2 linked regions of the Oreochromis niloticus genome follow. The protein of the gene in region 1 interacts with the protein of each later gene in a pairwise test. Links are inferred from orthologs where the notes say so. Each region holds a gene or a part of one and is shown on either strand. Other genes may lie near its edges. The genes, in order: tp53rk and tprkb.

Evidence for each region.
Region 2: the proteins of tp53rk (region 1) and tprkb interact in binary tests that used the Homo sapiens proteins (3 or more experiments, as listed by UniProt). The link is inferred for Oreochromis niloticus from reciprocal best matches to the Homo sapiens genes TP53RK and TPRKB.

Annotation. Positions count from the first base shown.
Region 1 is NC_031970.2:36,230,574-36,246,656, reverse strand, and holds tp53rk (EKC/KEOPS complex subunit TP53RK), read left to right. Parts: upstream 1-8,415; 5' UTR 8,416-8,478; coding exon 8,479-8,701; intron 8,702-9,378; coding exon 9,379-9,866; 3' UTR 9,867-10,013; downstream 10,014-16,083. Other genes in the region: slc2a10 (solute carrier family 2, facilitated glucose transporter member 10), read right to left, coding at 651-747, 830-965, 2,269-2,391, 2,530-3,798, 4,603-4,645.
Region 2 is NC_031981.2:4,862,582-4,879,841, forward strand, and holds tprkb (EKC/KEOPS complex subunit TPRKB), read left to right. Parts: upstream 1-10,885; 5' UTR 10,886-11,010; coding exon 11,011-11,151; intron 11,152-11,310; coding exon 11,311-11,433; intron 11,434-11,545; coding exon 11,546-11,722; intron 11,723-12,029; coding exon 12,030-12,116; 3' UTR 12,117-12,968; downstream 12,969-17,260. Other genes in the region: alg10 (dol-P-Glc:Glc(2)Man(9)GlcNAc(2)-PP-Dol alpha-1,2-glucosyltransferase), read right to left, coding at 7,557-8,618, 8,693-8,890, 10,329-10,493; uncharacterized protein srr, read right to left, coding at 15,173-15,414, 15,537-15,626, 15,704-15,852, 15,969-16,099, 16,235-16,416, 16,493-16,670; trmu (mitochondrial tRNA-specific 2-thiouridylase 1), read left to right, coding at 17,219-17,260. UniProt on the Homo sapiens protein: Component of the EKC/KEOPS complex that is required for the formation of a threonylcarbamoyl group on adenosine at position 37 (t(6)A37) in tRNAs that read codons beginning with adenine.

The sequences.
Region 1 (16,083 bases):
TCACGTTTCTAGTAGACAGCTCCCAATTCCAGTGTCTATATGCACTCCCTAACACTTTTTTCGGGGGGAGGGGCACTTAATGTTGATACTTTGAGATAAACAAGCAAACTTTTTATTTGACAGTCACCTCTCATCCCCACTATCCCCTGCAGCTGGATAGTGTAGTGGTAAGACTACACACCTTTGGAGTGAGACTCGCACGTTTGTATTCCCCACCCAGTATCCAGTAAGGGTCCTGGCTAGACCCCCCCCCCCCCCCCCCCCCCGGATGCTAAAACCATGTCCTGGAATGCCGCAGCTACATCTATGTCTCTGCAGCTTGGACACAAGCATTTCACTACATGTTGTACTCTGTATGAATGTGTATGTGACAAATAAAGGTTGTTTGTTTGTTCTAAAGGAAGAGCTGGAAAGATAGTTGACCTGTTAAGTTCCCTTAACAAAGAAATCCAATAAGCCCACAATGGTAAAAAAAAAAAAACTCATGTCACCCAGTTAAATTCAAAAGACATGTTACAAAGTCCTATATCATTCATGTTCAACCCTCATGAACTTAGGCACACGCTAACTATCGACTTTTATTTTGACTAAAGATTTCAGGTCAGCTGTTTGAGGTGATGTCTTCCTAAACAGTTCATTATCTTTTTGGTTCAGTCCGATGTGCAAACCTGATAGTGCACTCTCTGGTATCGCGGGGAGGTATTTCTGCTGCTGATGAAGCCACAGCACTCCCGATGGTGGTAAAACCTGTAAAACAACAGTGGAGGCCTCACATTGCATCACTCGGGACTCTCTCTATTTGATCAAATGAATAGACTGCAGATCACACCTGTTCAAACGCAACTCCTTGTCTATTTCCTCCAGAGTCTTCCCTTTTGTCTCTGGTAGCATGAAGTAGAAGAACACTGCAGCTGCCACAGCAGTTAGCCCATACACAAGAAACATCCCTGACAGTCCAATCATATCTGCAGAATTAAAACACACATTTCTTTTTGCTAATATGTTCAAAAAAATATTTACACTTGTGGGTCTTGATATGTTTTTGAAGATCCCCTCTCATACTAAAGCAATTATTTAAAAAGAACATTAATCTTTTATTTTAAAAATCCTAAATGTTCAATAACTAGTTTTACATACACAGGCTGCCATTTGTGTGTTGGGTTCTAGGTCAATGACATACAACTAGGGCCATAAGTTTTTGAATAATGAAAATAAATAAAGAAAAAGAAATTTGCTCCTGTAAATCACAACAGTGGATTTTAAATCAAACAAGTAATGTTAATGGTTAAACTTTGAGCTTTCAAAAAAAATTCTGCATTTATAGATTTTATATTTTGCATTTTCTGAGTTTATTTATTATTAAAAAATATTAAACTATTTTGTGCAACACATTTAACTTCAAACTGGAGATCTTTTATCTTGGTATACTATTAACTTCATGCAAATTATCCTTCTGCACAGGAGACCCAGCTCATCACATTTCACGCTGAACTTTTAGGGTCAAGGTTGGGTTCATTTAAAAGTCAACATTATAGCTATCTTAGTTTAAAAAAAGGAAAAAAATAAAGTATAATTCTCCATATTTCACACTTTCAGAGTTGTCTCCAGTTATAAACAAGTCACTCCGAATTTTCACATAATTGACAGTTAACAAGCTTTCAAGCAGCTTTCAACTTTTATATGCTAGCATGACACCAATCACGAATTCCCATCTCAAGAAGCACAAATAATTGTAGTATTTGAGTATTATCCACAGCCAGAAGCAAATCTGATAAAAACTGGAGGTGGGAATGAGAGAGTAACTCGCTTTTTACAATACTAAAGCGAAGCGTTCCACATTTTTGTGGGTGGCTGTAGCGCAGGAGGTAGAGCCGATAATCTACTGATCGGAAGGCTGGTGGTTTAATCCCCGGCTCCCCCTACTCTGCAAATATCCTTGTGCAAGATACTAACCCCAAGTTGCTCTCCGATGCATCAATTGGAGTATTAATGTGTGTGACTGGCAGTTAGAAAGCACTTCAAAGCATAGAGACAGTGCTTGTGTGAATGGGATAATGTGGCATGTTGTATAGAGGGCTTTGACTGATATAAGAATCAGTCCATTTATCATGTATCATGAAATCAATAGATGTAATGAACATTTGTTTTGGAAGCATGTTATTATTATAATTATTATGATTTTTTCATTCATTTATTTTTTGTGGTAAACTAAAGGTAAACATCTAGCTACTTTAAAACCTATAGTGCTATTGAAACTCCAAAACTCACCAATAACATTCAAGAAGGTGAAGGTGACCAGCAGATTTGCAGCCCAGTTGAAGCAGTTGGTGAATGCGAATGCTCTTCCTTTAACAGCAGCTGGAAATATTTCACTCAGGAGGAGCCATGTCACTGATCCAAAAAAAGAAAAAGTTATGATAACCCACAGGTAAAAATTGTATTGGAGGTAAAGCTATGCTTGACAAATACACAGAAATTATTTCAAGCTTTAAATCTATAAAGTAAATAATATTGAGTGAATTTACACACTTGGTCCAAATCCAACAGAGTATGCACTGACAATACCCATCATACACAGGAGGATGATCCAGTTGAATACTTTGCCGTGGACTTTAGGAAAAGTTTCTGGAGTGGGTTCCAAAGAAATGTGGCCGATTTTATTGAACACTACATCTTTATCTTGTGTGGTGTTTTTAAAAAGAGAGTGGCTTCCAGCCAGAGACATATCAAAAACAGAGTCATTGCCAACAGGTGAGTGATATGCATGTGTTTCGTTATCGTCAATGTTTTGAGAATTACAAGGTCTCATAGCGGTCACCTGCGAATGTCCACTGAGGAGTCCGATGGTTATTAGGCACAGAGCCATGACAGAGCAGCCTCCGATGAGCAGAGGCCTTCTGCCCACTCTGTCTGAAAACGCCATGGATATCAGAGTAGCAATCACTTTGACCAATCCCAACCCAACTGATGCCAACACTGCTGAGGAGTCACTCTGAAATCCCACTGTGTGGAAGATGGTGGAGGCATAAAAGAGTACGTTTGGCTGGCCTGTGAACTGCTGAAAGAGTACTAATCCCAGCCCGATGACAGTCCGAGTCCTCATATTGTCCTGGCGCTTGAACAGGTAGAAAGTGCTGTGTTGAACCTTCTTATTTCTCTTGCTAGACTGCACTTCTGAGTCATCTGCTTCTTGGGCTTCAGTCCTGTCATTTTGAAAGCACTGACTCTGGTTGAAAGAATCCTTACTACTGGAAGGGAGTAAGCAGATGGACATGAGCTGTACCAGTGTTGGTACCACAGCTAGACCAAACATCCACTTCCACCCTCTTTTAGAGCCAGACAGGATATAGTTAATGGCATAAGCTGACAGGATGCCCACAGTAATCCCAGCCTCATACAGTGTTACCAGGAAACCTCTGCGGTCTGGACTTACTACCTCAGACACAAAGAGGCAGCAGGACATGGAGGATACAGACATGGCAAAGCCTATTGTGATCCTTCCTATAACCAGTGCTAAGAATGAGTTGATGAGCAGAACCAGGCTGGCTGTCAGGATCATGACATTGCTGATGAGGATGGAGTTCCTGGAGCCATGACGGTCAATTAGGCAGCCGCCAATGATCGAGGCCAGCAAGGCTCCTATCAGCAAGGAGCTGACCAGCGCCTCCTGCTGAATGCACGACAGCCTGAAATCAGCCTTGAGCTGCAGTAAAGCACCCGATATGATGCCCAGCTCATAACCAAAGACAAGTCCGCCCAGAGTAGACACCACACTGGCCAGTGGGGTGATAGGACGACCTGTGAGGAAAGAAAAATTAAGATGGTTAATTTTCAAAGTATAAAAGAAAATGTATTGCCTCCCAAATAATCTCAGTTGTTAGGAATTACACAGAAGAAAACTACTGAAAGGTTATAAGATTTGCCTCCATTCATTTTATGTTATTCGTGGTAAACTGAATTGGAAACATTCTTTTTCTTTGTGTTTGTTGGGTTAGCGTCTAGAAATAAAGAGAGAACTTGAAACAGCTTGGTTTGGTGCATACTTGGATGATGTTATTTGGACAAAATCTTAAATCCTTCAGATGTCAGGAGTTAGTTTACAGTTTACTAAACTCCTGACATCATCAGCAAGTGGTATTACAACTTCATCTTGCTGATGACGTTAGATCAACAGGTGCATTTTAGCATTAGAAAGTACCCTAATAAATGAGCCACATTGGTCACTGTGATCAACCTGTGGTTCTCTGATGTTCAGAATCTATTGAGTGAAATGCAAATGAGGCAGAAAAAGATGAAGATGTAACCTGCTGGAGTTCAGTCTTCCCTTCATATGTGTGTATGTAGTGATTTAATTTTCACCTTTGCACCTTTGAGTAATTAAAGATGTTGTGCTGTTCAATAATCAAGTTCTGAATGTAGATTCAGGGCTTCAGTGTGAAATGTGAGCTATCAGCAGCTAGAACAATCAAGCATGCATTTGCACTGGCAGATCACATTAGTCAACGCTAATGCATTTTACACAATATTTACACCAATTGACTTTATGTCACAGTAGAGATCTGCATTTTATTGTGGTAAACTAATTTACATAAAATTACCTACTCATTGCTTCTGTCTTGTTATGTGCACATTTAAGCCAGACCATGCAGCTCTAAATCCATCTTTCAGAAGACATTCACTGTAGAGTATATGGGAAATAATAAAAAGATGATCTGCATTTCGTGTGCTGTCCTCCTGCTCTGGCGCCCACAGGAAGCCCTGCTGACAGAAAATCAAAGGAAGCCCATCAGAGCCTGTTGCAGCACCGCTGCCATGACAACGCTCTTGTTGATTACAATGATTTCATTAGGGAGTCCATGCAAAGTAGGTATAAAAAGAATGAAATAAAACATGTCTGTGTAGAAAGCAGTTAGCTTGTCAAAGTGTAATTCTGCCAAACATCCTGTCACCTGACAGTGACAGGGCAGTGGAGAATTTGATGTGTCGCTCTGAAATATCAAGAGAGGAACACCATTACTGCAGTTAAAAAGCACTTGTGTCTCTGCTGACTCTGGAAGCCATTAATTATCACTGACAAGCTTCAGTATTCAGTAGCTGGAACACTGAACTGTCACTGAAACATCCAAACTTTCCTGACTGGTGGATGAGTCATTCAACAGTTCATTCACTGATCAATAACTTGGACAGTGCTCATAACTAACATACAAAAGACAACGATTCAACTTAACGCTTTAACTGAAACTTTGACATATGTTGGCAGAGTCGTCTGTCTTTTTGTGCTAGCCGCATGTCAGTCCAAGGTGTATAAGAGCCTTCTATGAGAATAACCTAACTAGTTTAACAGAGTAACTTTTCATCACTTTACTTAAAACAATTAATTTTTTTGTTAAACGTTTTTGTGTGAAAGATGGATTCATTCAATCTTTCAATTCATTAAATATTTAAATATTTAAAATCTGCAACTAGAATGATTTCATAAGTTACTCTCATAAGTTACAAAATTTGCTGTGCTTTTTAGATAGTAAGGCAGTAAATACGGTATACAACTATTATATTTGTTTCTGACTATTATTGCAAAAATAATGATAATAATAATAATGATGATAATAATAACAATCCACCTGGAATTAAATACCATGTTTAGAAATCTGTAGCACGGCTGGGTTTCGCACTTAAAACCATGACAGTAAAAAGTAAAATATTTCCTTATAAAACACTTCAATAGCATTTTTACTTTTAGTTACGTAAATGTCACCATATTCTTCTCCCTCTGCGTAAAATTCTAAATTCCGTAAAATTCCTCTTCACAACTCTCTTGCAGCCTATTTTAACGCTCCAGCTTCTTCTGTTGTGGAGAAATGTAGCTCCATTATTCATCTCTCCCACCGTATTTAAGCAGACACAGTGGGCACGCACACACGCACGCACAGGGCAATCCGTTGTGAATTTACATATTTTTGGGTAGGACAGAGAAATGGACTCACCTCTGGCAGCAGAAAACAATACACAAAAATGCTCCTGGAAAACCTCTGGCCCTCCAGGAAGTTGGGGCTACGTGGCAGCAGTGTCGAATTGCAAAGAAGAATTTCTTGGCCAAGTTTTGACGCCAGAGGTCGTCAGCTATGGAAGTTTCCCGGGAAGGTAATCCAGGCAGAGGATCTGCAAGCACCGCCCACAGCCGGCCAGAGCAGAGAGAAGGACCAGTCCGCTCGCTTTGTCACACACACACACACACACACACACACATTAATGACGAAAAAGAAAACCCCACACCCCGTTATGAAATCATTTAACGTGAAAGTGACGTGCTGAGTTGAGTAGCATAAAGATCTGAAGTGTTAAAAACATACTCGTACTGCATTTTGCGCGTATTATTAACTGTGATATAATTACTGGTGATGATAGTGATATGTCAGTGCAGTAAACATAATATAATATCACATAATTTGCAGTGCTGACACTGAAGGTTTCTAGAATAATTAAAGCTGTAGAATATATTCTTACGTTTAAAAAAAGAGATATGTAAGCAATCTATATACTGTATACACTGTAGGCTTGCCTTAATTAATTACACTATATTGTAGCTGAACAGAAATACTGTTTAACAACCTCTGTTTGTGTGTGCCTGCCATTTATTCTGGTTTGGTAAACTGGAAATTCTGCTCTTACTTCATATGATCGATTTAATTTTCAATGAAAATGTTGCGCTGATGGTACCTTAGAAATATGTGCTTAATATGGAATTCACTATCATACCGGAGATAATGTATCTGAAGTTCAAGAGCAGGACCACACCCCACAAATCCCCCTTCCAGTGGTGTGTCTATAAACGTCGACTTCCTGCCACACACAAGTTTATCATTGTTTTCATGCCCCTCTCCTCCTCTCCTCCTATTTGCCATCCCCTTTTAAATTTATCAACATCTGGTAGGCCAGGAAGCTGCCATTTGTCTTCAGTTTGAACCTGCCAATGGATTATTTTTTTTGGACAGAATGTACTATAGAATTATTTTTAAAATGGTTTTGTAGGAGTCTTCCAAAGTATATATAAAGAAGACAATTTGATCTCAAATTTCTAAAAATGAGCTTCACCACCCTCATTCAAGACCATCCATGTTGAAACTACTGTGGGCAGCTATTTTGAAGTTTTGTCTAAACAAATTTTAAAACCTGTAGTCACAGTGATATAAATAACAATGACATAAGTCTGTGAAGGTTCTCAGTCATCCAGGTCATCGTAGTCAAAGGAGTTTGCAAAGAAAAGCGTCTGGACTTCTTTAAGTTGCTTGAAGACGTTTCACCCAAAAAAAAAAAAAAAAAAAAAAAAAAAAAAAAAAAAGAAGCTTCTCGGATGAGAGGTGAAACGTCTTCAAGCAACTTAAAGAAGTCCAGACGCTTTTCTTTGCAAACTCCTTTGACAACAATGACATAAAACTACCAGAAGTTTTGGATATAAAGAAAGTTTTCTTTTTCCTTTGAAAATTCCACCAGTGTCTTTTCTTTTTCATAATCCTCTCAGAAATGTAGATTCAGGGATCTTTGAGTTATTAAAGAAAAAAAAGAAAAGAAAAGTGATATAACAAAGCCACAGGATTTACAAATTCTACTTTATCCTTAATTTGCTGAACAGTTTTTCATCCTGACCCCATCTTGTATTTTGTCAGTAATGGCAAATAACTCGGAGTGGTTATCAGGTGCCAGGAGTAAAGCTGTTAAATAAAATCATCCTCACCAAGCAGAGGTGAGGATGATTGCGACAAAGCAATAAAAACAAAAACTGGGATTGAAGGGTTTAGGTAAGCAGCAGAATGGCCAACGGCTGTCTTCAATTTGACAATGGCTGATATGGATGTAACAGGTTGTATCAATGGAAACTAAACTTAAAATGTTAATACTATTATTACTGCAGGGTCTTTACATTATAAATAAAGTGCCTTTAGGCGACTGTTGTTGTGATTTGACACTATATAAATGAATCGAATTGAATGAATACACTAACTGGCCAGTTTATTAGGTACACCACTTGGTGCTACTGTGTTGTACCGCCTTTTGGCCCCATAACTGCCTTAGTTTTCAAAAGCATTGTTTTTGCAAGGTGACGAAAACATTCTTCAGAGATTTTGGTCCATGCTGATATGCTGCCATCACACAGCTGCTGCAGATTTGTCATTTCCATGATTTGAATCACCGCTCCACTACATTCAAAAGGTGGTCTATTGCATTAATACTAACAATGAAGGCCTCTTTATGTACAGTGAACCCAGTGTCATGTTCAAGAAGCCGGTTTTAGATGGCGTGAACTTTGTGAGTCATAGGTTATCTGTGTATATATTCTGTATTATTTGTGTATATGTGTTCTACATCGAAAACTTTTCTCTGTATTTATGTGTAGGTATTTTTGTGGTCGCTAGGTGGCAGACGTAAAAAAGAGCAAGGAGGAAAACGGAGGGACCGCACAGCGTGGAGGAGGAAGTAAACATGGCGCGGGAGAACAACATGGCGGTCCCTGAGTTCCTCAGGGAAGCAGAGTTGTTGAAGCAAGGGGCAGAAGCCCGGGTATACCGGGCCGAGTTTCTGGGAAGGCCAACCATAGTGAAGGAAAGGTTCCCTAAACGCTACAGACACCCAGCCTTAGACGAAAAGCTGACACACCGCAGGACCGTGCAGGAGGTCCGCGCCATATTACGGTGTCGGAGAGCAGGCAAGTCCTCCGCTTGTGGAAGTGATCAAATTAGCACCACCCGAAGGCGGTTTAAGAATATTTGTAGCCAACTAACCGACTGGATTGACTGTTGGCTTTGCTGGTCGTTAGTTTCTGAGTCAATGATTAAGCCAGACTTTTCAGCTAAATTGCTTTTATTATCTGAACACCAGACGATATTTAATCTGCAGAGACGGAAGCTTCAGGTCTGTCAATATTTAGTTTTCTGGTTTGTGACTAAATGATTAAGCAGCCATTAGTAGATTAACAACAAAGTGAACTGTGTTTATTACTTTGCTTGTTTCATTCAAATACAAGAAAGTGATCCCTACATAACTCATAGTGGGTATATGATGTCTACAAACCCCTTCTCCACAAGGGGGCACAATAGATGAGCAAATGCTTCCACAGATGTTTAGTCACAGCTTCTGCATAAAGTCAACTTCATAAAAAATTACAAATTCAACCCTTCTCACATTTTATCTCTTATGTTTTGTTGTGCATTCTCAACTTCTGTGTTATCTGTGCCCCTTATTCAGCATGGATTTGAACATTTTCTCTAAACTCTGCTCCACCCACACTGAAACATCTTTTAGCCACACACAAACCTTAATCGATGATTGATTGGTATTGTAGTCACACAAAGTTTGTAAAATCAGACTTTTTCTTCTTCACAGGAATATCTGCCCCTGTAGTCTACTTTGTGGACTATACCTGCCACTGTATCTTCCTGGAGGAGATTGTGGGTTCCTCAACTGTGCGTGACTATATTGCATCTGCTCAACAGTCTGACTCTTGCAAGGAGCTGAAGTTGCAGAGGCTGGCTGAGCGCGTGGGGCAGGTCCTGGCTAAAATGCATGATGAAGATGTCATCCATGGAGACCTGACCACCTCCAACATGCTGCTGAGACCCAGCCCAGAGGGAGGAGAATCCGACCTGGTCCTCATAGATTTTGGTCTGAGTTACATCTCTGCTCTGCCTGAAGATAAGGGTGTGGACTTGTATGTGCTGGAGAAAGCCTTCCTCAGTACCCACCCCAACACAGAGGAACTATTTGAGAAGCTGCTGAAAAGCTACAAGGCGTCATCCAAGAAGTCATCAGCTGTCATTAAAAAGCTTGACGAGGTTCGGTTGAGGGGAAGGAAGAGGTCAATGGTGGGGTGAAGATACTCCCCATGTGTGTACAGGGGCAAACTTGTGGAATTTCATAATACTGAAATTAAGACACTGTTGTGCACAGTCTGTAAATTAACATACATAAATTGTAATTGAATATTAAACTATTTTCTAATAAATGATGCCTCAGATCTTGCTGTTTATGTGGTGATTTATATAAAAATGTTACATATAAAGCTAAACTATTATTTTCACTTTGTTCCAAAAGTCTGAGTGACTGCGTAAGCAAAAAAGTTTCACAGTTGCTCTCTCTCTCTTTATATATGTATATATATGTGTGTATATATGTGTGTGTATGTGTATGTATATATATATATATATCACGAACTTGCAATCCTATATACATGGTATATACCACATACATACATGAATGGATGAATGTATTTCAACAAAGCCATGCTATGCATCCAATCAAATAAATCTGCCAGAAAGGAACAACGGTGTGGTCTTTCTACATGGGATGATGGTTGTCTGTCTGCCTAGTTAAGTGTGAGGGCAGAATAATATGTATATATATATATATATGTGTGTATACGTATGTGTATATATGTAAAAATAAATGTATGTATGTATACATACATATATATATATACATCTGTATATATATATGTATGTATACATATATACATATATATATATACAGATGTATACATCTGTATATATATACATTTTAGTATGTATATATATAGTAGTTTGTGTTCCATGAAAAATGGAACCGGTAAACTGAATTTATGAAAACACACACAATAAGTGGATCAATTTATATTAAGAACTTTATAACACTACTGCATTCATTTTGAAATGAGCACTGATACCTGAAGCAGTGATGCAGGATTTTAAAGACAGCAGTAATGAGTGTTTCCTAAATCACGGAGAAGGTTACTTGTAGAGAACAGTCAGCTATTCAAGTGACTTTAGGTCCGTTTTAATTATATAGCAGCAAATTCCAATAACAGTTGCCTCAAGGTGCTTTATATTGTAAGGTAAAGACCCTACAGCAGTACAGTGAACATGTTGGATGGAGAACAAACTTTGGAATAGAAATGACCAGAAATTTTCACAAGTACCAACTTTGGTTAGACCAAACCAGAACTTACTGGTGACGACATACATAAAGGGGTTTTGGGTTTGAATTTCATGGTTGGCTGGAGCCTTTGTGGATAGTGTTTGCAGATTCTCCTTGTGCCTCTTTGGTTTTCTTCTGCAGTTAAAATTCTGAGTCTGAATCGCACTAGAAGTCAGGTAGGCAGGTCAAAGTCCAAGAGGAGGTGCACTATGACTGATAAGCAGACACTTAAGGTGAATGTTTAGCCACCACAACCATGCTTAATAACACAGGATTTGTAACGCACCACGTGATCTTTAGTCAACTGTGTTTGAATTGTGCGAACACACCCAAGTAAAAACAAATGTGTCACATGTCACTTTCATTTTTAATTTACAGTGACGGTAACATCTGAGACACCATGGATCAGCAGCGTATTACAAACATGACGATTAAACTCATGGTTCTTGCTTTGTACTGTAAAGGTGAGTGTTTGTTAGTGTTCCAGCTTCTAAATGACAGCTCTGTCCTTTTCATTCTCATAGTCTACATGACTCCTTCCAGGTTCCTTAGCTGAGATCACCAGAGAGCTCAGTGTCTTAGTGGGCAATGAGGTAACGCTCAGCTGCATGTTCGACACACCGCATAAGCTAGTGGAGTGGAGTGCTCTTAGTATTGAGTGGAACATGGTGGACAAACATGCAAAGAAGAGCATGGTGTACACGCTGGAAGATGGAAGAGCTCAAGTGTACAAAGAAGGCTCTGTGGTGAATGAAACGTGCCTGCGGCAGAGTGATGCGTCCCTGCAGCTTCATAATGTCACTGTAGGAGATGAAGGGCTGTACACTTGCAGAGTCATCAACCCTCTGATCTACACAGAGTCCACTGCTCTGAAAGTGCTCGGTACGCCTGGGAGTTATATGGGCCAAGAAAGCCACAGTGTTTATCTAGCTTAATAATACAAAAAAGGAGAAACTTTAAAGTGAAGTTGCAGGTAATTTAAAATGCGACATTTCAGTTGTCAGCAAGCTTCACCAAAGAGACAAGCTGTAGGTTATTTTTTGTTTAAGACATCACGCTGTATGAAATTTATACATGTATGAATTTATTCTCAAAGTTTAAACAAGGTGACCCTCTGGAAGAGGCTGAACTATAAAAAAGTAGTATTCTCATAAAATTTACAGTAATATACATATATATATATATATATATATATTTATACATATATATGTGCACAAACAGTTGCCTGCAAACCTAAATGAACTGTCTCAACGTTGTAAAAATTCCAGGGTGCAGCTTATCAGCAGCACGGTATGGAGATCTGCCAGTTGTGTTTGCTGCTTTCTTTTTAAGACAATTACCCAACTGCTCACTTGATTAATAATAAATGTGTTACTGAGGACTTTATGGTCTTTATAGCTTCAAGACCAAGATGCACAAAACAATTAGTGACATTATATCCATTTTTGTGCAAATTGTCGAATTCAAGCACAATCATTTTAAATAATTTTAATGATAACAATGTAATATCTGTTTCTGAACCGTACACCTTCAGCTCAGCCTTCAGTGTTGCTCCCAGAAAAGGCAACAGTGAGAGAAGGACAGGAGAAAACCATACAGTGTGATGTAACAGGTTTCTACCCAGAGAAAGTGGCTGTGACGTGGCTGATCCAAAATGGCACCCAGACCATCCATGCAGGGTTGGGCCAACTGTCCCGTGTCTGCAATGAGCTGGCTGTACACAACCCAGATGGCACCTACAGCATTCGTAGTGGCATCACGCTGCACTCCTCAGTACTAAGGGGTGGAGAGATACATGTCATCTGCCAAGTTGAGCACCAGACCTACAATGGTCTCTACAACCGATCTGTAACACTGGCTGTTCAAGGTGGGATTTTATTTATTTATTCTTTGGAGCTCTTGATTTCATAGATATATAGTGGTATACTGTAGCACAGGTAATCAGAAGATTGATAGTTTGATCCCTGGCTGCTCCAGTCTGCATGGCAAAGTATCCTTGGGCAAGAACTAAAAGTTGCTTTCTGATGTGTCCATCGGCGTATGAGTGTGTGTGAGTGTTAGACAGAAAGCGCTTAAGCAAAAAAGCAAAGTACAAAGCAAAAGTGCCTGTAGTTCACTTGAGTTTTCCTGTAGAGAAGAAAAGCACTATAAGAACCATTTAATATTTACTATGTTACTTTCATGTGCTTTTCCTTCAGCTCCACCAGAGCTGCTTCACAGTACAGCCACTGTGATAGCTGTTACAAGTGTAATAACTTTGCTACTGGTCACCTGTGTTACTGGAGGATCTTTATATCTCTACAGATATTTTTACAAAGGTATGTATCAACAAAAACACATTTTTTTTGTTAAATTTTGATAATTTTCTTTGCTTGGTCATATTTGAATGCGAGAATGTCAGATGTTCACATTAAAGATGTCTACAGATTTAACGAATTTGGCAACTATGTGTAAATTAACGGAAAAACTACAGCTTAAGACTACTCTGAATAGACCAAATTGGAGTTGACCTCATGGTTACTGTCGTGGGGTCCTCTCCTAAACTTCTCCCGAACAAATGCAGGCGTAGTCAGGAAGCATTCAGTGTGGATAGTTTATTCTGCCGGCCTCCCAGGTGCACAAAAAGATTATTTACAAAGAAAATAGAAAACTAACTTAATTCAACACAAAACAAACATCTATATACAAAACACAAGCGGCTGAGCCAGTCTGCATGTTACCCTCTCTGTCACATCTCACAGAATACCCAGGTAGGCCCTGACAGCCTTCTTTTATACCCCATTGCCCCTCCCACTAGGCATAATAGTCATCTCTTTATTATTTCTTTTCCCAAAACACTCTTTTTCCCCTCAGCTTATTTCCAGCTGTATTCCTACAATACATATATATGTATATACAGACATTTATGGCCAATTCCAGGCAGCCTACAGTGTTTCACAATAACAAAAAAAACCCAAACAAAAATAATGCAGTTCACGTGACTTTTCAAGCGCGCGCGAACCCACTATTTGAACCCCGGAACACCATACCATCGGCTTGCATAACCACTCGTATAATCGGCGATCACAGCGAGTCTACGTGACCGGCTTTATTAAAGGTAAGCGGGAAAAATATGTTGGCCACCTTCTGCGCCGCTCAAAATACCTCTCACCCCTTTTTGTTTATCCGCCCGGTCGACGAAAAGAGGCGCAGCCACGGTAATTGTAGAAACTAATGGTGGTGGTGCGTGTATGCGCCCAGATCAGCTGTCTGCGGCCCGGGACGGTGTAACTCCGTCACAGTTACATTCAGAGTTTTATTTGTGAAAAAAACAGAAACTTTTCTGTTTTTCTTTTCTTCCAAGAAAATGTAACTACCTTGTTAACAAGAATATTTTAACATATTTTTATAAAACAACATATTATCATATGTCATATTTTCCAGTTTCTAAATAAATGATCCAATAAAACCAATTTTTTTTTTTTTTTTTAATGTGTTAGAAATAAATCCCCATTTTAGTTAGTGCTGTTTGGCCAATATTGCTCTTCATCCATTGATGACCGGACAAAGACATGCTGTGGATAAGCCTAGATCTTTCTTTTTTTTAAATTTAATTTAATTTAATTTTATTTTATTTTCACTTGCTACACACGGGACAGACATGAGTGGGGGAAAGACTCCTCCCATTTTACCTTTAAATACTTTAGGAACCACAAGTAAGCCCGCTGTCTGAAAGTGAATTACTTTATTGGGGTGATACAATACTATGAACGCTTTAAGATAAAACAGAGCCTGATTAGTCAAGACCTTGTATGTGATGAGAAGGATTTTAAATTCAATTCTGTATTTAGGGAGCCTTTTTTATCCCTTTATTACCATCCCTCTAAAGTGTTACCTAGATAACATAAAATTTGTTTGATTTCAAAAAAGTTTGATTTTGTTAAAATGAAAAGAAAATGCTGCTATTTCTCTTCACAGTTCCATTTAATGTTTCGGAAATCAGTCAGCCCATCATAATATACGCTCAGGTACCCACAGAACTGATGTGCACCATTCAGGGATCCACAAGGTGGGAGCTCAAAGTGAAATGGTTTAAACTAAGAACCAGTCCAGACTCAGTGATTCAGTCAGAGTCAGGTTCTTCAGATTCCCTGCTGGAGACTGAGGATCTCAGCGAACAGGCTTGTCTGCAGTCAGATGGCAAAAATCACACATCTGTCCTGCCTGTATTTCTGACTGTTACTGACGACCAAACCAAATACCAGTGTGTAGTGTGGTGCAAGGACAGGAGCTTCAGAAGGGAGACCACAGTCAAGGTTAAAGGTGAGTAGTTTTGGCTTTGGGAGCAGATTATCAGACAGGGCACTCTGAGAATTCAGCTCAGTGGGGAAATCCCCAGCCCAGTCTCATAAGAAAACATGTTCATGTGCACACAAACTGTCAAGCTTTTTGTGAGTGTGAGCATGGATTTGTAATTGAAGTTCTTTTAATAGGGAGGATGTTTCATGTCAGAAGCATGATTTTTTTTTTTTTTCCCCAGAGAAACACAGAAAGCATCACACTGAGAAAAGAAAGCTTTAAAAGATGTGGCCACTATTGTTCCCAAACCACAATCTTTTTCTAATTACAAGTTTTTAATCCCTAACCTCAAACAAGCTGTTTGAAAATCTGTGCTGTGTATGACTCGAACTTGTCATACACAGCACGGTGGCAAAAGTTTTTAACTCCACCCCCAATTCCTCTTATAACTAAAATGCAACTTTAAAAGTGGGAAATATGCATTACGTGTAAATGGACATTAACTGGTACAGAAAAAAAACTATAAAATTTGTTTCCAGGAACAAATAACAATAGATTAAATATTACAGCTATTTCAAGAAATGTCATGAGACTGTGTTGGAATCCCATAATGCCATGCATCCTAACTCTAAAAAGTTTAACTGGAGAAACACGTGACCCAATCCACGTGCACCAGTAAGTGCAGTAGGCACATGTAATCCTATTTATAATAAAGAAGTAATGATTGTGTAGAAATTCTATTTATCCATATTCCATGACATAGTTAAGTTCTGTACCATAATTTATATATATGAAGTTATATACCAGACTAGGAGGCACAGTAGCTTGGTTCAAATGCACTGCCTTTGGACCAAACTGTAA
Region 2 (17,260 bases), on another chromosome or scaffold:
TCCCTGCGCTCACATCCATGAGCACAGGATCCAGGTGGCAGGGGCAGCAGCCTAAGAACGGAAGCCCAGACCTCCCTCTCCCTAGCCACCTCCTCCAGCTTGTCCCGGGGACAACAAGATGTTCCCAAGTCAGCTGAGAGATATAATCTCTCCAGCGTGTCCTGGGTCTGCCCCAAGGCCTCTTACCAGTGTGTCCCAGGGATCCCAGGGGCTAAGTTGTCCGGGGGCTTCTGCCCCCTGGTAGGGTCTCCCATGGCAAATTGGTCCTGGGTGAGGGAACAGACAAACAGTGATTCAGAAGACCCCTATGAGTAGAACATCAAGGAAACAGTTCACCCTGCCCAGGATAGGGTTGCCCTGGAGCCAGGCCAAAGTAGGGAGCCCGAGGGCGAGCGTCTGGTGGCTGAGCCTTAGTCAATGGGGCCCGGCTGGTCAGGCCCAACACTCACAAGAGGCGCCGTATTGCATTGTGCACCAGGCGGCAGCGAGGAGCAAGGCCCTGGTGGACCGATCCCCAGCTCCTAAGTGGTGGATTTCATGTCTCCAAATGTGGTGAAGGAAAAGCATGGAGCAAGGATCTATGAGCATTATGCATGTTTAGGGAAAACATTTTGGCTTCCCACAAGAAGGAATATTAAGACAGCTAATGCAGCTGGAAGAGAAAATAGATCACAGAATAAAGGAGATAAGAGTGGAAAGAGATGAGTTTGTTGAAATAGAAAATCACCTGAGAGCATTAAGTGGAAGTGTGGAAGCACGAATGCAGGGACAGACAGAGAGCTCAAGGGAAAAAAAGGAGTGATGAGGATGAAACAGATAAATCTTCTCAGAGATTGTTTGCCTCCCTCCTCACAGCCTCAGTGTGTCAGAGTGGATCACGACCTCCCCCCACCACCATGCAACAGAGATGAACAGCACACGCCAGAAACCTCTGGTGACTCATTTCTGACCACAGCACATTTACCACTGGAGGCTTTACATCATCAAGCTCACTCATCAGAAAACACAGCCACCTCCACCTTTTCTCCCACAGCCATCCACACCCAGCAGCGATGTGCAGACCCTCCATCTGCCCCTCAAATGCCTAATAGAGCCACAGACTAAGGAGGCCACGATTCATTTGTCACACCCAAGCGATGCAATGGATGCAAACCAAGTCCGACATTAAGGACAAGTTAATATCCCATCACATGTATGTCCAGTGTTAACTGTGTTTGGTGTATTAATGCTTTCTCTGTTGTGTAGTACTACCTTATAGGTTCGTGCCAGTGAGGTTGATTGATCGTTCTCTGTCAGCCCAGTTGGTTCAGTTGGTTCCACCCGTGTGCTCAACTCCACCTGCTTGGATTCCACCTTATTTGGACTTTCATAGTAAAATGAATTTTTGTCTTTTCGTTTTATTTCATTCCTATTCAATTCTCTTCACTGAGCATCTATTGTCTGTTAATGATAAATCTTAATATAAATAAACCTTTGATTTCACATATTTCAGCTGCATTTTACTCCAGATGATTGCTTCGTATTTTCAGAGTGTAGGTTTTCGGTAAATGTGATGTACTTGTTTGAGCATGGAATGGAAAATGTTCAGACTCTTCTCTGTGTCACGCTGACCTTGTTGAATAAAAGGCAGACGATGTTTTTATTTAGGTCTAAGAATTAGTCATGAGATCATTTAAGCTTTTTTTTTTCTTCCTTTATTTCTCCCTCTAATTATTTTCTACTGTTGTTCTAACTTTTTATACAACCATAACAGATCAACAAGTGGCAAACTGTCCTGTCTTCACCTTTGACTCTTAAATACTAATAGCTCCTTCTTCAGGGTCTGCCTCTAATTTCTTGCTTAGAGTCTCAGATACTTGCTTAAGCTGACATGTAAACTATGTCGGACTTGTAAATAAGGTTGCTCCTTTGTTTCCTAGATGTGGCAGAACTCAATTTAACATTATTATTAGATTCAGACTATTTATTCATACTTTTTAAATTTAGCTCCTGGAAAAAGAACCGAAGTTTTCTCTGACTGCACTGATTCTTATTTGTAACAAATAATGGGTTCTTGGAATAAGTAGAGGACACAATGGAAAACTTGGTGGGCTTATAAATAGACCTCAGCGATACCAAAACATCGTCTCAGTGTTCAAATTCAAGTCTCAGCTCTGTGTATTTTATGTCCTGCTATTCTTGTGTTTCTGTCTCAGAACAGACAGAATAATTTGATGTACTCTTATTTCTCATAAGAAGCTTGGTGGAGTAGAGGAAGCTACGAATTCTGAAATCTCTACATAAGTAGATGATTTGTGGTGAGACGAAGACTATTGCGAGCAGCACATTTGTCCTCTGGGAGGTGCTTTTTGTTTGTTAGCAGCCTAGCATCGACAGCTGCTCAAGATATCATTTTAAAATGTTGTTTGATGGTAGATACCAAGAACAGCTCGAGCTGATTCAATTTTGCTGACAATCGGGTCGAGGTCAAAGTCAGTCAGTCAGAAAATCAGTAAAAACTTTATATTACCCACAGCTTTTTATGGATCATTGTCAAACTTTGCAGCGATAAATTAGACCTTCAGCCGGCCAAGCATTTGACTTCTAGGTCATAGTCGATGTTAAAAAAAAGAGTGATATATCATATGAAAAGGCATGGGGAGAGCTGTGCAAAACACTTTTTAGATTTTCAATATGACACTCTACAACGTCACAGTGTGCTGTAATAAAAACGCCATAAAACATCAACGTTTGTGAAGTCTTTGCACTTTGAGGGGAGTTGCGCTCGTTCTGTGGTGCAGTGGAGGTTTGGGGGTTCATTACCGATACAAATTTTAAACTCTGTTCTGTGAGAAAATGCATATTTTGAGTGTACAATCCAACAAATTTCTTCTTATAAGTGTAAATGAAAAAAATCCTGTTTTCCAGCCACTGACAGAAAAATAAATATTTACGATACAGATCATGTCCTTAATCAAATAACAGAGATATCGTCCACTTTCCACATTTGGTGCCCACCTTTAAAATTATTACTATTTATAATACAAAATCTTGAGTCATCCCTCGTTTGTATGTAACAAGCTTGAAAGTCAGTATTTCAAGCTTGTGACCACTTTTATTCTTCAAAACAGCCTTTTTTGGGCAGTTTTCTTGTCATTTCTTACGCAGTCTTCAGGAATGTTTCTCCAGGCTTCCCGAAAAGCATTCAAAGCTCTTCTTTGGGTGTTGACTCCCTTTTGTTTTGTTCTCTGTTGAGATGATCCCACTCTGCTTCAGTAATGTTGAGGTCCGGGCTCTGGGGAGGCCGATCCATGACTCATAGTGTTGCGCTGTGTTTGTCTCTTTCCTGGTGTGCTTTTACTGCATTGATTGTTTGCATCATTGTGATGCTGAAAAATGTTTTACAGCTATAGACACTCAGTGCTTTATCTCTATCCTTAAACCAAAAATGGCCAATTTGGATTCATCACTCCATAAAAGCGATTTCCATTCCAGTTCTTGTGTAATTTGTTGTACCTCAAACTTGTTTACCTTCTTTAAAAACTGCTTCTTGAGAGATAATATCAGCACACATGTATCATTGTAACTGATATGTGTGTACAGATGCACACCTATTCTTTGAACCAAGTTGTGCGTTGCTAGGCTGCACTGAGACTGAGCTGAAGCTGTATTTAGTTTGTGCACTGTGTGCTTAGACTGCGTTTCATAGACAATCTGGTAACTTGGGAAACGTTACGTAAAACACAAAACTTACCCAAGTCATATATTCCAGTTACTGAAAGCAAACTTTGAAGGTCACACAAATTCAAGGCCTTTCCTGGGAGAGAGCGTAATAATAGGAGTGTCTGCATGTTTGCCACACACTATCCTCACATGTGCTCTACTGCACATGTGCAGTGTCAAGATTTTACTTAGGAAAAAAGGTACAAGTCAGGTTTACTGAAGTAGAGCTAACTATGACTCTTCCGCACACAAAAGTACAATACTGGCAGGAAAAGGTGAATGGTCACAGTTTGACTTTGATATTTACATTTTGTAGAGTTGAATTTTTTTTCCCAGCTGTGATAGGCTCCAGCGCCCCCCGCGACCCTGAAAAGGATAAGCGGAAGCGAATGGATGGATGGATGGATTTTTTTTCTGTTTGCTGAAATACTTACTCACACTTGGTGTCAATCATTTCCATCCTTTTTCTTATTTTATCAGGTCTTCCTGAAACACAGTCGGTGATGAATAAGATATTCCACATCATCAAGGACAAACTTTGATTGATTGCATCAGGAAATGAATTGAATATATGAATGATCCCTTTGAGACTGTCATTTTCAAAATGCCCAAACGCCCTGGTGATAAAGACTAATCTGTACTTTCATTAATTGGCAGGGTAAAAAAATCAATGTAGTGAAAGGAGGACAAACCTGAAAAAGTGAAAACATTATAAACCATGAAGTGAGCGAGCAGATGCGGTGAACGCTGCTCCGGAGACAACAGTACATACAGTATGTCCTTTCAGCAGGCTCGGAGTGGCTGAGCTGTGCAATCAACATTTGTGTAATCATCCCAGTGTGACTTTTATGAGCTGTGAGCTGGCCCCGTGTTTCTTGCTGTAATTAGAATCCAGTAACGATACAGGTGACATGGAGAGCAATCATTGCCATGCGTTTTTTCTGCTTTCTTACAGTTGAGTCTGCACTTCTAAAATACTGCTCTAAATTAGCATTGACCTTTTCAATAATGTTACCACAGTGTTTCCAAAAAGTCAGGACCCTGTGTGCATAAAACATAAAGATGCAATGCATTAATCGTTTAAAGGCTCTATTTTTATTTACTAGCCCTGGTACTCATTATTAAAGTGTGTAATGTTAGAAAACTGAATGTTGCACAACTGCTGCAGTTAATAACATGACCGTGTGCAAAGGTGTCACCCCAGAAAGTCTCAACAAATTCAACAAATGTATACAAATTAATTGAATTTGTATTGCGTTAAATATACCTCACAGTGGAACATAGGCTGCCATCCACATGGTGCCTGTAACAGTGAAGGCCTTTATTATTTCAGCAAGACAATACCATACCGCACTTATTACAGCAGCATGGCTCTGTAGAAAAGCCCAGACCGGCCACCCACTGGAAATATTACATGCAGGAAACATGAAATGCGACAAAAGCGGCCCTCAAAGTGCTACATTTGCTAAAAGTAGGAATCTTACATCACAGATACTGTTTGAGTAAAACAATAAAAATGCTCACCTGTAAATGTGTTTCTTAGAGTCAGGCCCTTTATATGAATTCACTGATTCAGTTTAAACCTTAAAAATCTCTCCTCAAGGCCAACTTCAAACAAAACATCTAGTGATTAATGTTTGAGTACCTTCCAGTGTTGCTCAGATGCTGAATTCATTTACTTCATGATGAATTGCACTTTCATGTTCATAGGGGTCTCTAGCGCTGCATTATAGCGCCTCCTGGTGGCTGACTCTGGCTAATCCGTTAACTCGGTGAGTCAGACTGAGACAAACTCTGTGTTAGTAGCACTTGATGTCAGTAAGGAGAAATAGTCACAATATTAATTAGATTAATCAGATTAAGTTCTAAAAGACTTGATTTCTGTTCTGTTGTGTTCCTTCAACATAACGAGGTGTTTAATAAAGGTGTTTATTGTTTTCATCATACATTTTTGTTGTCGAAACACAGAGGAAGTAGTGTAGAGGGGGAAAAAAATGGCCAATGAACAACGTTGGTGGCAGCTGGTCTGGATGAAGCTGCTGATTGACTGAGATTTTCCCACACAAACATCTCGAGGGTTTACAGAAACTATCCAGCGAGCAGCAGAGAAGATGTCTTGCAGATTTCAGAGGTCAGAGAATGGCCAGACTGCTTCGAGCTGATAGGAAAGACCACACCGGGTCACACGCCTGTCAGAACACTGGGGAAACGTTGCCTGGTGGCATGAACAACATGACAGCATGGATCCATCCTGGCTTGTAGCAAAAGTTCAGGCTGCTGCTGGTAGTGTAACAAATGTGTGGGATATTTTCTTCGCACGCTTTAGTCCCCTTAGTTTTAACTCCGCCTACCCGAATACTCGTGTCCATCCCTTTATGACCACAGTGTAGTCATCTTCTGACGGCTGCTTCCAACAGGAGAATGCAGCATGTTAAAAAGCTCAGATCATCTTGAGGAGGCAAAAGAAGCTTCAACAAGGAAGTAGCATGGTGTACCTAATAAAGTGACCGTAGAGTGCACATATAATGCTATTGTCCATCTTCACGTGAAACTCAAACGAGTGCTCTACAGACTTGACTTTGAATATTTTATTCCACAGTTGAATGAAGATGGGAGCAGCATACTTACAGCATCAATGCACAACATGTACTCGTGTTCACAGCTACACACAGGTCACACCTTTGATGTGAACAAAGAAAAACTGCATTCAAACTAAACACGACAAATTACACATTCAGATTTGACTGACTTTGATTGCATGAGTCACAAACCAACGTGATCGGATTTTCGTTAGGATGAATTTTATGATTAAAATCTCGTGCATAAAGAAAAACAACAACAAATAAGCAGCGAAATTAACCACATCCACAAATCGAGCACGAGGGCACATACAGAAGAGCAGAAACTAAAACGTCTAAATTAACAATGAACATCTCGACACACATCTTAGTCACCTCCAGTGGACTCGTATGGCTTAATCATAGTGAATATCGAGGTAAAAATGTATGTACATCTTCAAATAGTCCCATTATTATAAAGTTCTGTCAGCGTCCATCACTGGCACAAAATGCTTTAAAAAACCATCCCACATCAAAAGAAATCTCAACTTTACATTAAGATTATATCATTTTTGGTCTCTTTAATTAAACTTGCAAAAGAGTGATTTTGTTGTACTGCATTTTACAAGTGCTGTAGAAAAAACTGCCGTACAAAAACAAGGAAGCCTAACAACTAGACTTGACACAACAAAATAAACATTTTGTTGAATTTACAAATTAAATCCTCTGATTTTCTGAATCAGTTACATTTCTTATGTCAGAATTATGAATCTCAAAAGAAGCTAATTTAGTTGAGAGCCTAATTTTTTTTATTCCAAGGTTGAAATGCTTCAATCAATGCTTTAAGGGGGAAACAAAGCTGTTTGGGGTAAAAACAACATGCGAGTACAGTATATTGAAAATTCTTCATTATGATTTAGATCTGCACCAGCGCTCTTACAATACTGAGATCTCCCACTGTTATTATTACTAACATTTTTTGTTAATATCAATTTCATTCAGTCATGAAATGATTCACAGTTGACTGGCAGGATTTATTTATGAGTGTTTTGAGTGTCATTGAAAAGTACTTTTTTTTTGCCAGTCAAATACAAACTGGAGATACTGATTCTGTCTGTAGGGAGAATAAAACCTTACACCTTTTGAACAAAGCTGTGTGGTTAGAGTGTATAAAAATGATATGACCGTGTCGGTCTGATACTGAGATGTAACAGAGGCTTTGCTTTGATTTTTAAGATGTTCTGGTCCCCTGTAACACAGGAGAAAATCCTGAAATGATCCACTTTAGTCTTTTCCTCACCACATAAACCTCTGCGTTGCTGTGCTGTCTGGCCAGTGGAAGGTCTTGGCGATGAAGATGTAGATGGTGGCAACGTTCACGGCCGTGTACAGGAGGAACTCCCCGATGAGTCTGGGAAGGGAGGGAAGGGGCATGTGCAGGCGATACATCAGGTATGGAACGATGAAGTACCTGAACTCCAGGAGCTTCTGCGGGACTGTGGCAGCCACGAGGCACGCCAGGAAAGCCACACTCCAAAAGAGAGAGCGCGATTTAAAGGAGTCCAGAAAATTCCACCCGGCGAAGATGTATGGAGGGATGAGGAGGAAACGCACCAGTTCGTGCCTCTGGAAAAGTTTCTTCCACACGTAAAAGGGGAAATGGCGGTTATCAGCCAGGAGGTACTTGTGTACAAAGGTGAATTTCCACACCAGGAGGAAAGAGATGCCGGTGACCAGGAGGAAAAACAAAGGCTGCTTTTTGAGAGCCTGCAGGAAGCGGAGGACGCGGTGGTAACACAGCGAGACGGGGAGAGAGAAGAACAGGGAGAAGGAGAAGAAATAGAAGAGCTGGGGGAAGTTGAGGCAGGCCTCGTGGCTCGTCCTGTCGCCAACCACTATCCCATCATTGAGCGCCACAAACACCAGGAAGCCAATGCCGACCAGCGCGTAAGGCCAGGCCACCAACAGCACCGCCTTTATGTGATTGGGTGAGGTGAGGAACTCCAGAGTGAAAAGCAGGATTCTCTTAGCTCCGCTGAATGACAGCGGGATCTGAGACGGTGCAGACTTCTCGTCCCTCTTTTTTGTATGCTCCACCCTCCAGGTGTCATCCATTTTCCCTGCCACCAGAGTGGCTGCACAGAACGCCACCCAGATGATGTTCGTCTGACGGAAGAGCACGGAGCAGACGCCCAGCAGCGCGGAGGCCTTGTGGCAGCCGTACAGGGTCATGAGGTAGGTGAATAGGATGAAGAAAGTAGATCCAGCGTCAGTGTAGTAGAGGAAGTTAAAAAAGTAGAGCACAGGAAAGGTGGACAAAGACAGCGCTGACAGGACTCGGCGTGAGGTTGTCCGCGTCTAGAAGAGAAGTTAATGTGACATCAGAAAAAAAATAAGTCACTTGTGGTCTTGTCTTCGTGTCCTGGACTTACCTTCTCCCTGAGGTGCAGCTTGCAGAGGAGCAGATAGATCAGGTAAAGGTTGCCACAGTTGAAGAGCAGGTTGATGAAGCGCAGCATGGCCGTGGAGCACACCACCTCGCCTGTCAGTTCGGTGAGCCAGACCACAGGCTTGATGACTCCCACTGAGACGAGGTAAAGGCCTGGGAGAGTGGTGATCATCGGGTCCCACTGCATGGATTAAAAACATGTTAACACGGCACAAGGTGTAAAGTTCGCTTATCATGTGGAGTGAGCGGATAATGGCTCTTGAGTAGGGGGGGGGGGCTTCTGCTGTGAAGGGCCACACCAATAAGCTGAGCTTCACGGTGCTCAATATTAATTGTATCCCTTTGTAATCCTATTGTTGTGGCCCTCCACAGGGATATTTCATAGCACTGTCAGAGTTTTCTTGGCTAGTCTGTGATACAAGTATTCAAGAAAAAACCCTGTGTTTGCATCAGCACTCACAGTTCATTATTACCGCCAGGCATCGAACAACCAACTTTTTGATTAATAGACGACCTGCTCTGGCTCCTGAGCCACAAGACAATCCAGCTTTTTTTTTTTTTATGAACTTCACCTATATGCTATCTTAAAATTACAGCCCAAATGATATAGCAGTCTGTTGATACATATGAATATCGTCCAGTGGAGTATGTGACGACACAAATTTACAAATAAAGTAATTTAAATTTCATCCATCCACGGGTCTAATGGTTTCTCCTGGTCCAATGACACCTCAGCCATCATTTAGAAGCCCCAGCAGGGCCTGCATTTCCCGAGGATACTCGGGAAGAATCATCTCAGTTAAATGCTCCTGCTGCTGTGCTTCTACAGACCCACCGCTGAGATCATAGTTCATTACACTGTGGTACATGGGGTTCGTAGCAGCAGATTAAAAAGGCCCTCCAGAGAATCACCAACACTGTTGTTCTCTTCCTCCCCTCACAGACATTGCGAACAGCCCCAAATCATCGTCAAAGACTGCTCTCATCCAAGTCACCATCTGTCTGAACTGCTGACTCCGGGTAGGCGTTACCAATCCGTAAAATCCAAAAAGGCGGTCGTTGACTGGTCTCTTGTCCTACGTGCCTGGAGCCTCGCAGGCCTCTGCTAGGACCCGGGCATCATATTACTCTGCTGCATGTGAACCAGGCAGGGCTGTGATGAATGATAACCACCCCAATCTTTTCTCTGCAAGGCTTTAACACTTTTTAGAAAACTCACTCTCTCTCTCTCATGGATCCCTGACTAAAACACCATCGTTTAGCCAAGTTTCCTCTAATACACACACTGCTTTCACTGTCAGTCTCTGCCATGCATCACGTCACATATGAGGATGAAAAAACTGCAACATGTCTTTACAGATAGCCATTAGTAATGTAAGGTTTACAGAGCTTCATACAGACCTGAGCAGTTAAGCTTCACTTCACCACAAAGTCCCATGCTCTTTTTAAAGCTGGCCCACGTGACATCAACAAATATAACCCATCCAGACAGGCATACCATACTGATGCTGCCCTATATGCCCAGTGTGGAGATTAACCCTAATCGAAAGCCCCGCTGCTCTTAGCTAACCTTAATCCGCCTGATAATGGCGGGCTCACCCTCATCACTCACACTGTACCTCGTTGAATTTTCCCTGGCAGTACTTCTGAGCTTGGGGGACGTGGAAGATCTCGTCCATGTAGGGCTCCCTTTGCTCGCGGGTCACTCTGGAGAACAGCAGGCAGGATATTAAGAAGTTGGTGCTGCACAGAGCAGTGAACATGTAGCCTTCAAATTTCTCCATGTTTGACGACGAAACACGGTGTAAAACTGAGAAAAGTTCAGACCAGAGCTAGCTGTTAGACTTTAGAGTATCTCGCATAACGACTAGACTCGAGAATTTAAACCGCGGGAAAACGTTAATTTAGAGGAAAACTGTCTGAAACATGTCCACCGTTGCTAAACGGAAGAATATTTGTGATTTTTGACAGCTGGCGGTCCGATTCAGAAATAGGCTCGGTACGGAAACTCGTGTATAACCATAGGTTCCGGTACTGTGCTAAATACTTTAGCGTAGGATTATCTGTCGAATAATATCTGCCTTACATATATGTATGATTTATTTTGGATGATTATGTTATTGACTGCCGTTTTACTACCTTGTGACATCCTTTTTTTCCTCCTAGGAGGAGATTTCCTCTGACGCGGTGTCACCGTGTTATGGTTCCCCCCGCTGTGTAGAGACTTCACGTGAAGCACCGTGGTCCGTGTGCCGTTTATAGTATTTTATCGAACCTTTTGTGTGTGTGTGTGTTTTCAGAATGCATCTAATACAAAAGCTGGAGCTTTTCCCCGACCACAGAGTGACCCAGATGCTCTTCAAAGAAGTCAAAAATGCTGCAGAGCTGAAAAAAAGCGCCATGGAAGGGAAAATAAACGGTGCCTTGATCAACCCTACGATGGTGAGCCTTTTCCGTCTGTTTTAGCAGTGCTTTGTTAAAAGTATAAAACACAGGCTAATAAACCCGTTAAGTACTCGCATCTTTCACTGAAATAGGAACATTGAGAATTACCTGGAGTCTTGCTGTTTTCTCACGTTGACCCTGTGCTTCCATTTCCAGCTGGTGGATCCTTTTCAAGTGCTGGTAGCTGCCAATAAAGCCGTTCACTTAGAGAAAGTTGAAAAAATGAAGACAAGAACTCTTTACTCGGAGATCATCTTCAATCTGTCCCCTACTAATAATGTAAGTGAGGAGAAGCAGATATTTCTGTGATGCATGTTCCCATTAAAAAAAAAAAGTTACTCTTAATGTAGTTTTAGATATGTAAGCTATCCATATGCTTCCACTAATATAGATCTCAGACGCCTTTAAAAGATTTGGGATCTCAGATGGCGATGACTCCGTTCTGATCGTCATGGTTGACAGCAAAGATGAGTCCCAGGACGTGTCAGACATTGCAGCCAGGGTGGAGGGCCGGCAGGTTCCAGTGGAAGAGCTTTCCTCACTGTCAGACCATACAAAGATCAAAAAGGTCGCTGCTTCTAATTCATCTGCGTTCCACACTTGTATCTTGTTATGTTATGGGGGTGACAGGCTGCACAGTTGTTTCTCCTAATGTTGCTTTATTCCCAAAACATTCTCAGATGTGGATTATATCCAGTCCCGGACTAAATGAAAAATTCAGGAAAGAGATGACAAAAGAAAAATAACTGGGCCTAAAATCATGTTATAACCCACAGAGTACATAATCAAATGCAGTTTTTTTTACTCCCCCTTTAACACTTTGCTTGATGAATTTAAAGAATATTTTAATTAAGTTTTTTTTCCCTCCATTACAGCTGTACAAAGTCACTCCTCAGGAGGAGAAATGTGGGAGTCTGCTTGATGCGGTCGTATGCAGAATGGCCACCAAGGATGTTATGTAGGTTTGGCGGGATATACTAGGTGCCATTATAAACTTCTGTGACTTTTATTACTTCACCCTTAAAGAAATGAAAGACTACGCTTTGAGCTCCACTTCAACACACTGTCCTTGTGCAGGACTGGACTACTTCCAGCACCGCTGCTATTTTTTGGTCACTCCTTGAACGTCCCATTCTGTCCACTGGAGCAATTCAAATGTTAACTCCTGTATCAGGCTGAAACAGCTTTGACTCGGAGGATCATCAAAGGTTATGAGAGCGGCTTGTCCACCTACAGCCCACCGACCAAACAGCACACAGTCCAAAAGCAACGCATCAGGATCTAGACGATTTTTTCCCATCATTCATGTGTTGTGCACTAAGGTCAGGCTTATTCAAGGATCTAATATCCCAAGGCATTCAAGGGATGGCATTTAGTAGAAATGACGTAAATCTGTACACTGTAAATCGAAAACACCAAAGGCTGGGGGTTTTTTGGTCACACCAACCAAATTGTAGCTCACCACTGGTTACATACAGCCAGATACGACTCTGTTCTCTAAAATGAAGCCAAATTTAATGGATTCATGCAGTGCTGCACGAGAGACCACCTTCGAGGGGGGACTGTTTTTGTTTTTGCAGAGTTGCAGAACTTTATGATCACACCTTGTAAGACCAGGATATGCATAATAATATGTGAGAAAATGTGTTTGTTTTTTCTTTTCACACAGCAGTTTAACAATAGATCTGTTGTCAATAGATCTATGTCTGTTTTTAATACTAGCCCAGTACCTTCTTAAGTTTAAACCAACAGAAATTGTCAGTCTTGATCTCTGTACACTGGGCTCAGTCAAAATAAATCTTATTTTTCTTAAACCTTTGGGTGAACTCATCTTTGTTTATTCTTTTTTAATCTCTTCTTTGCCGCGGCCATGACGTAGGTAGAAATCTTTGTGTTTCTTATTATTTAGCATCATCCTATTTCTTGTTTTATTTGACCTTTTGAACTTTTTTCATTCACTGTGTTTTTTTGGTTCTGTACACTGAAGGTTAGTTTTGTGACTGATGGGGACAGCGATGTAAAGCTGCTCTCTTGCCAGCAGAGCTGAATTATGAATCCAAATTGCTTTGAGCTGGATGTGAGCCAGGCCTCTGAATAATTAAAAAACAAAGAAGCTCAACTGCCCGAAGCACTATCACGAAAACACTTCAGTCGAGCCAAATTTCAGCCAATGGCTGTCAGCCTGGGGAGGCATGAATAATAAATCTGCTGTTTGTTTTAAAAAGTTTGGAGTTAGGTTTGACAAAATTGTACTTTCTACAGTTTTGTTTCATAAAACTGGTAATTATGTTTTTTTTAATATAGCTGATAAGATGCAATAACACATTCTGATGACATTAGAAAATTCTCATAGCACACATTTCAACACTTTTTACTCAGTATAAGGTATTTGATCCTTGTTTGAAAAATGTTACGTCCGTTGATGATAATACTAGAAATATTTAATAAAGAATGTTGAATGTGGAGCTGCAGGACACGAGGAAAAGAGGAAGACCTCAGAGAAGATTCATGGACGTAGTGAAGGAGGACCAGGAACTATCATAACCATTCAGATGCTTATAGATTACAAAGCATTGCATTATAATCACCAATTGGCATTCTACTGCAGCAAATCATGTTAATGTTCATAGTTTACAAAGTAATTACTATTCATTAACAAAGTGTTAATGAGAATCACAGTATTTCAAATGTAACAGTATGTAACACAATAAGCTACACTGCCCATCCAGAAATAGTCACACACTCTGAATAATTTGTTGGACCACCCTTACCTCTGAGTATGGTACACATCCTCCGGGGCAACATTTTGATGAGCTTATGCAGTGTCACAGCATTTATTTCCAGAGCTTCATTCATTTTTTGTCAACTCGATGACAGGACGTGCTATGTAAAGTCTTCTCAAACACATCCCAAATAATCTCAGTGGGGTTAAGATCTGGATGCTGTGGAGGTTGAGCCAAGGTTGAAGATGATGCTCCTGGCATGATTCCTGGAATTGCCATCCTTGAATATGTCCCTGCCATCAGAGAAGCAGTTATGGCTTTGTGCTGAGAAAGAGTTTTTAGAGTGTTGCTGCATAAGTATAGAGAAGGTCAGGAGTTTGGGATCTAGAAAAAAAGCATATGATAGGTTGTCAAAAGAGGAACTGTGGTACTGCATGACGAAGTAAGGAGTGGCAGTGAGCGCGCTGCAGGACATGTGTGAGGTATGCAGTAGGAGTGACAGATAGGTTCAAGGGGGGGGATTACTGAGCCCCTTCTTGTTTGCAGGATTCTCTGTGGACTATGATGTTTGCAGTATGGAGAGGTGGAGGTGCACTATATTGCCAGAAGTATTTGCTCATTTGCTTTCAAACACATGTGAACTTGAGTGGAAGAGAGACTCCAAACCTTGTGGAAAGGTTTAGGAGGGATTTATCGGAATTTTTGACCGTTCTTCCAGAAGCACAGTTGTGAGGTCAGACATTGATGTTGGACGAGAGCGCCTGGCTCTCAGTCTCTGCTCTAATTCGTCCCAAAGGTGTTCTATCAGGTTGAGGTTCTTCCACACCAAACTCACTCATCCATGTGTTTATGGACTTTGCTTTGTGCACTGGTGTGCAGTCCTGGTGGAACAGAAAGGGGGCATCCACAAACTGTTCCCACAATGTTGAGCCACAATCGCCCATGGCTAGGATGCAGCTGCTCAGCCATGGAAACCTATTCCATGAAGTTTGGAGGTCTGCAGCAAGGTGGTGGTCTTTGCACACTATGCACATCACCATATGCTGTCCCCGCTCTGTGGATGTTATGTGGTATACCACTTCATGGCTGAGTTGCTGTCATTCCCAATCAGCAATCAGAGTCAAGCACTTACCTACACATTCTAATCAGCACACTCTCTCACACTGTGCAGACTTTTAAGAATATAAGAAACATACCAGAAAGACGCAGAATTGCGACAGCAGTAAAAACGTGTATTAACAATGTTTATTCTAAATTGTTGTCTGAGAGAATTACTGGCACAGATTTGTAGTTTGTCAGTCCTGAAAGTTCAGAAGCTCGGATTTTCCAATATTCCCTCCGGTGAGGATGCACACAACATCTTTCCCCTCTAGCTCCAGGATCTTGTTGTTAACGATGGCAGCAAAGGCAGCAGAGCCTGATGGCTCCACTACCAGCCCAGATCTGTAAAGCGTGGACACAGCAGCCTTGATCTCCTCATCGCTAACGAGGACGATCCCCTCCACGTAACGTTGGCACAGCTCATAGGGCAGCCTGCCTGGTGATGGAGCAAGAAAACTCTTCTATTTTCTCATGAATCGCAAACAGAAAGTCAAGGAATTTTAAAAGAACTGTTCATATACAAGCAGATATGCTGGAGAGAAATTTAACAAAAACTACCTGCGAAAGGTGGTGCAAGACCTGACGCGATGCTCTTGCTGTCCATTTCTACTGGCTTCTTCTCAATGAAGCTTTTGTACATTGTGCAAGCTGTGTTAAGCAGAAACACACTTAAAGTTTCTGCACACAAAAACAAGCTAAACATCAGTTTGTTGGTGACTTTTTACCTCCTTCTGGCTCCACGCCGTAGATCTTGGTTTTACTGCAACCTGACAGTTTGATGGCAGCAGCTACTCCGGCCAGGAGCCCACCTCCACCGCAGCACACCACCACCACATCAGGCTCCGGCATCACTTCCAGCACCTCCATACCTAGACTAAATGCATGTGCACACACAATTAATGTAAGACAGCGATATTAAAAATCGAATTTTTACCTATAAAAGACGAAGATAAAACACTCTTATGCACTAGCATCCAGCCCTGATTGTACCTGGCATGCCCTGCAATTAGATCCAGGTCATCGAAGGAGTGCAGGAAGGTCATGTTGTCCTCCTGAACACAACGGTTCACCACGTTTATCAGACAGGATGTAGGAGCTCGCTCCACCTCCACCCCTAAACTCTGAGGACAAGAATAACCACTCCATGAAAATAACAAAGCAATAAATTCACACCTATTAGGGAGTAATTTATTTGTCTGTATTTAACTTTTAAGGCTTTTGCCTTTTGCTTAACTGTGCCACAAACGACCTCTGACCTGTATAAAGATGGACTTGTTCTCTGGGGCAGTTTCGGGCATCACCACTTTGCCCTTTGACCCAAAGTGTTTTGAGGCATATGCAAATGACTTGCCGTAGTTTCCAGCAGAAATGGTGACAAAACAGCCACCCGTCGGTCTCCTGGCAAACTGATTGGCTACTCCTCTGATCTTAAAAGACCCTGTCATTCAAAAACAGGAGATCAATAAATCTGCAGCAAAGTGTCAGGGAAGCCAAACAAAGTGGGTTTCACCAACCAGTTCTCTGCATGTTTTCCAGTTTGATGTGGATGTTGCAGCTGATGCTGAGAGGCAGGGTGGTCTGGCTCCAGGCGATCATGGGGGTGTTGATGACACCCAGAGGGCTGCTCCTCACCGTCTCTCTCGCTTCTCTTAGCATGTCCAGAGTGACAGCGTCTGCAGACACCTCACCCATCTGGGTGGGTCAGAAACAGAGAAACATCATCACACCCAGTAGTTTAGTTTTACATAAATGTATAAAAGACACTTATTAATTGATATATTTTTGCAGTTACTGTAGGATTAATTCAAAATATGTAACCACTGCAGCTCTCAACCATGAGTTCACAGTTTTAATCAACGGAAAATGTAAAGAATTGAGTTGATTTAATTGGTAAGCAGTTCGCGAGCCTGTGATTTATTAGGAAAAAACGTGAAAGTTAAATTATATATAAAACAACTTGTTTCGTCCTTAAACGAAACCAAAAATGTATATTTATTCTGTTCGGTATGTTTTACACAGACCTTATTATTTGTTTTCACTCAGCTGCTTGAAGTTTAGTGTTACAACTTTTTCGGCTCCCTCCTCAGCAGCTTGATGGTTCCGGCATAAAATGCGTTTCAAGTCGGACGCTATTGCTGTGCGGACGGCAAACATGGCGGCTTCTGTAGAGCAGCTGGGTGAAATGTCCTAGTTTCGTGAGCGAGAAAGTGTTCAGAGCCAGACTGCAGTAATATGAAAACATGGCCTTGATAAAGCACGTGGTGTGCGCCATGTCCGGCGGC